Kluyveromyces lactis: one gene and its partner. The protein of the gene in region 2 purifies or fractionates together with the protein of the main gene of each other region. This does not show direct contact. Links are inferred from orthologs where the notes say so. Each region holds a gene or a part of one and is shown on either strand. Other genes may lie near its edges. The genes, in order: ASK1 and DAD3.

The links.
Region 1: the proteins of DAD3 (region 2) and ASK1 purify together in Saccharomyces cerevisiae (affinity purification with mass spectrometry; 3 studies listed by BioGRID, with this or other methods). This does not show direct contact. The link is inferred for Kluyveromyces lactis from reciprocal best matches to the Saccharomyces cerevisiae genes DAD3 and ASK1.

Annotation. Positions count from the first base shown.
Region 1 is NC_006039.1:1,071,883-1,074,689, reverse strand, and holds ASK1 (Ask1p), read right to left. Parts: upstream 1,228-2,807; coding exon 571-1,227; downstream 1-570. Other genes in the region: MDM35 (Mdm35p), read right to left, coding at 66-320; SFK1 (Sfk1p), read left to right, coding at 2,122-2,807. UniProt on the Saccharomyces cerevisiae protein: Component of the DASH complex that connects microtubules with kinetochores and couples microtubule depolymerisation to chromosome movement; it is involved in retrieving kinetochores to the spindle poles before their re-orientation on the spindle in early mitosis and allows microtubule depolymerization to pull chromosomes apart and resist detachment during anaphase.
Region 2 is NC_006042.1:979,045-981,328, forward strand, and holds DAD3 (Dad3p), read right to left. Parts: upstream 1,009-2,284; coding exon 751-1,008; downstream 1-750. Other genes in the region: ARC40 (Arc40p), read left to right, coding at 1-560; TATA-binding protein-associated factor TAF6, read left to right, coding at 1,379-2,284.

The DNA of each region.
Region 1 (2,807 bases), on a different chromosome or scaffold from region 2:
TATTTTATACTTAGATTCATCATAGCGAATGGCGCAGGTATGTATGCGTTTCTTTGGTCCGCAATTCAAGGCTCTACAGGTTTTCCGTCATTCTCGAATGGTGCTTCCTTACGTGCTTCATCTAGAGCTGGTTTTATGCCTTGTTTCACCAAGCTAGCTTGGACACATTCCATATATTCGTACCATTCGGTTTGGCATTCGTTTTCAATTGACTCACCTTTCAAAAATTTCTCGCTGTACCAGTCGTTAAAACATTTATCGTACTTACCCTTCAAAGGTGTACACTCTGTAGCGAAACTTGCACTCATCACGTTACCCATGGTAGTTTTGTGGCGTATCTTGTATCGTATATGAATACTCACTTAGTCTCTGCATCGCACATAATCAGAATGTCAAATTCACCATGTAGAAATCCGATTGAAAACGAAGCTATAGAAGCATGAAACTAAAAAGGAAAGTATTATATCACGTGATTGTTCGTTCAGGTCATAGGATCTGGAACCCTGAGTAACAATGTATACCTCACACACTATGATATAGAAGTGAGTGGGGGAAGGCTAAGACAGAGCTTCAATCGCGTTTGCTGTTAAAATGAATAACGGTTCCCGGCTTGGCCAATTCGCCCTGGATTTTGTTATGTGTTTCTGTCCCAGTTTCTGTTTCCGGGGGGATCGTCTTTATTGGGGAACTGTTTGCAGAGATATCATTCTCCATTGAAGAATTAGAAGATGACGACGAATTGAAATGTTGGTGAATTTGTAACGAAACTTTTCTCTTCTTCCTCTGTTTTTCCATTGCACTATCCTGAGTCAACTCATCGGTATCCTGATCTTGAAATTGATCCTGTTTTACCGATCCTCCTGTTTTCGTGGTGGGGGCACCAGCGGAACTTACTCCGGTTTGAGATAAAGCAGGGTATTGATCGACTGTATGGAACTCATCAGTTTCGTTTTCTACCTCTGGAAATAAGGAAGTCCGGGGCTCCAAAACCTGACCCGCAGATTCCACAGCCTGATCCGTCACCAACTGAACATTAGCACTCTGCTGAAACATTTCTTTCAGCCACGAACTAGAATTCGTGATATCTTCACAAGTCTGTCCATATCGCGTCACGTACGGTATTATATCCTTTGTTATCTTGTTGAAACAGTACGAGAGGTCTGAATCGATTGATTGTAAATTTAACGTGATCTCTTGATCTATTTGTTCAATATTCACTGCATCCATGATGTAAAACAGGAAACCTAGTGTTAGCTAATTGGCACAGACTAATTGCGTCCTTTTCCTTGTTTACTGTAATATTTATAACAACGGACACCGCGTCCTGTTACCTGTAACCGTCACTATTTACACTTCCAAATCCAAATCCTTTCTGTCAAACCGGTTTGTTGACTTTTTGGTCAAATTCATATTTCCTCTTGTAACTCTAAGAAGAAATTTGAAATGACATAAAGAAAGTCTCTGCAATGCCAAGGTAACTTTCTGCAGATCAACGAAGAAGCGCTAGGCTGATTCGGATGAGGCTTACGATATTTCCAAGCTGAAAGTATAAACTAAACTACATAATACGTACTGATTCAAGGACACCGGTCACGTCTGCTATTCAAGGGTATCAATGGCTTAGAAGGCTCTGCCTACTCGGAGTGGAAAATTAGATATCATCCATTACGTTATCCATCCTTGCTCTTAAGCCTCGAAACCTATTAGTAAAGCATCGAAAGAAAACCTTTTTTTTTTACTGGAGCAAATATCGCAACAAAGCGCCCAGAAATCGCGCAGGGTGTCTCAAGCTAGTGTATCATCGAGCCGATTGACAGTTACATTCAGTGAATAGCAAGTTGTAATTTAAGGCATCAGTGACAGCATCACTGCAGTGCCATACACAAGCCATGCCATATAAAAGCATATATATATAAATATGTCAAATATAGTTTATATTGTTTTTTATTCGTGGAAGTCGGGTTTTAGATATATAAGGAAAAGAATGAGTATATTATACCAGCCGAATTTGACGGGACAAGGTCAACATAGCTCATTCCTTTAAAGAATATCACTGGTAGACATTCTCATAAGGATTGGATTTGATACAGGTATAAACGTAAACCGCAAGACTATACTAATATGTTTCCACGTCCAGGTAACTACTGGTTTATCTTTCCCTGGATAGCTTTCATTCCATGGTATGGGATGCTAATTGCGATGTTGGCATGTTGGGCAGGACAAGGTCATCCCATTTATTGGTTCATGCATACAGACCAGTTCCCGGTTTATATATCCCATATTGGTGCGACCAATTTAAAACCGTTGTTTATTTCTTGTGCGGCATGGCAAGGTCTAGGATACGTAATCATGGTTGCTCTAGAGTATTTTCAAAGATCTGGTCATTGGCCTTTCAAGTTACCGTATACTTATCATGATGACTTAGAAAAATCTAACGATAGCTCTATAATGGAATCGAACTACATCGAAGCTTTAATTCAGAAGAAATATGTCATGCCTCCATTTTTTACCAAACATGAACGGAATCTAGTATGGGCCTCATTCGTACTAGGAAGTATAGGTGAATTGGCTTTGCTTATGTGCACTATCTTCTCAACAAACACGTATCCTAGGGTGCACAGTTCCATGGTGGGTATATTCTGTGCATTTGTCGGATTGAGTGTAATTTGTCATGTCGCACAATATATGACAATGGGCAGACACTACGCTGTCGTCCATCCTCTTACAAGTAGTGAAGATATCGGCAAAGACACAAGGTGGAATGAATGGCACGGCCATGTTTGGAACAAGTATACTATCAGTGGCTT
Region 2 (2,284 bases):
AAGTTGCTGGCTCTCCATGGGGTGAGAAATTCCCATTTGGTTCTTTGGTTAGAGAATGGTACCAGGGTGCCTGGATCCACGATATCAAATGGAGATCTTCCATCGATAAGGTCGCATTTGTCACCCACGATGGTTCCTTGAATATCACTGATTACACTGACGATATTAAGAGTGTAGACAACCCAGAAGGTCTTCCATTCATCACCTTATGTTGGATCAATGATCATGAAATTTTAGCAGCTGGTTTCTCAAATCATCCTGTTTTGTACAGCGAAGGTTCAAGGGGTTGGGAAGTGTCCAAGATTTTGGATAGCCCAGTTAAGAGTGCTGGCAAATTGGTAGCATCAACTGGGGATGATGAAGAAGAAGGTGCCTTCGGTATGTCCGCATTGAGAAAGTTCAAGGAATTGGATTTGAAGGGTAAAGTTAGCCAGCAAGAAGAGAAATCTACCCATGTGAACTCAATTACAGAATTGGCTGCTTACAAGGAATCTAACAACAACGTCACTCAAGTTTCTTCTGTTGGTTTGGATGGTAAACTTGTTATATACAAGTTGTAGATATGGACGGTAAACGATTCATCTCTTCATCAAATAGTTGATCAGATCACCCCTATAACTCTTACGTTCAGAGTGAGAATACAATAAAAAAGAGTGGCCTTAGAAATGAAATATGTATATCTATGTTCATATATATTAAAATGTAATGTTACAACTCTGATTATGATTACAATAATCAGTCCGATTCCGCTCATAGATCTGAAGGTTTTTGTTGGTGATCCATCCGTCGCTGTATCACGAGTGAATATACGCTACCTTTGAGAAGCGTACTTACAAGAGATATTTTCACTTCAATTTCTCGCATCTCTTGTAAAATTGCTTCCGGTTTTGAGTCCTCATGGGTGTTGTTTAGATCTGAAAGTGTTTCGCTCAATTCCCTTAAGGACTCCGCTAGGAAGCGATATTTATCGAGCACACTTCGCTGCAATGGTGTCAGTTCCGAAGACATATTCAAAACACAAATAGTATGTTTCTTTGTAATTTGTACGTAAGCCCAAACCAGTAATGGTTACCTTTGTTGCCTTACCTTACATATTCAATTGGAACTCTATCCGGTAAACTTATGATAACGTTATTTCATTTTTGGTATTTTCCAATATTGACGAAAAACATAAACGATCGAATCCTGAAAGAATAACAACTCCATCCTTCAAAGTAAGGAATACAAAGCCAACGATTTGAATACAACACCAGCGCTCCTCTATTGCACGAACATCCACTCGAAAACTCTAGTTTCAGGTGTATACACTGAAACAGCGATAAATTTTATTCGAGTAAACGGTATTCTTTTCTTTATTCATTTGTGTTCAATTTCAATAATGTCACAGCAGTCCTCTCAGCAACAATCTTATACAATTTGGTCCCCGCATGATACGGTGAAGGATGTGGCAGATTCACTCGGAATCTCAAATACAAATGATGACGTGTTGAGGTCATTGGCGATGGATGTCGAGTACCGTATTTTGGAAATCGTGGAACAAGCGGTGAAATTTAAGAGACACAGTAAGCGATCTACTTTGACTACAAGCGATGTTGCGAAAGCTTTACGTGTCCTTAACGTCGAGCCATTGTATGGATTCGAGGAAGGATCAGCGAAAAATGAGCCCGTTAAGTTCAATAAGTTGGAGGGCGCTAATGGGCAGACGCTTTATTACCTAGATGATGAGGAGATCGATTTTGAAAAATTGATCAATACTCCATTACCAGAAGTTCCAAGATTACCAACGTTCACGGCGCATTGGCTAGCGGTAGAAGGAATTCAACCTGCCATTCCACAAAATCCAAATATCAATGAACTAAGGCTGAGTCAAGTTCCGTTGCAAAGAGGAGCAATAGTCTCACCATTAAACGAAACTTCTGTTCAAACCTCTTTACAAACAAATGTCAATGAAGAAAGACAGGCCACCGCAAATGGACCTATCTCGACACAAGTGAAACCAGGTGCAGCAAGTGAAGCTAAGCCATTGGTCAAACACGTTTTGTCTAAAGAATTACAGATATATTTCGAAAAAGTTGCTAGTGCACTTACATCGAAGGAAGAAGATATCAATTCACAACGGATGAGAGCAGCAGCTTTAACTTCGTTGAAGTCTGACACAGGACTACATCAGCTTGTTCCATATTTCATACAGTTTATCGCAGAGCAGATTACTCACCATTTAGAGGATTTGGAGTTGTTAACTACAATGTTGGAAATGATATATTCGTTATTGAGTAATCAATCA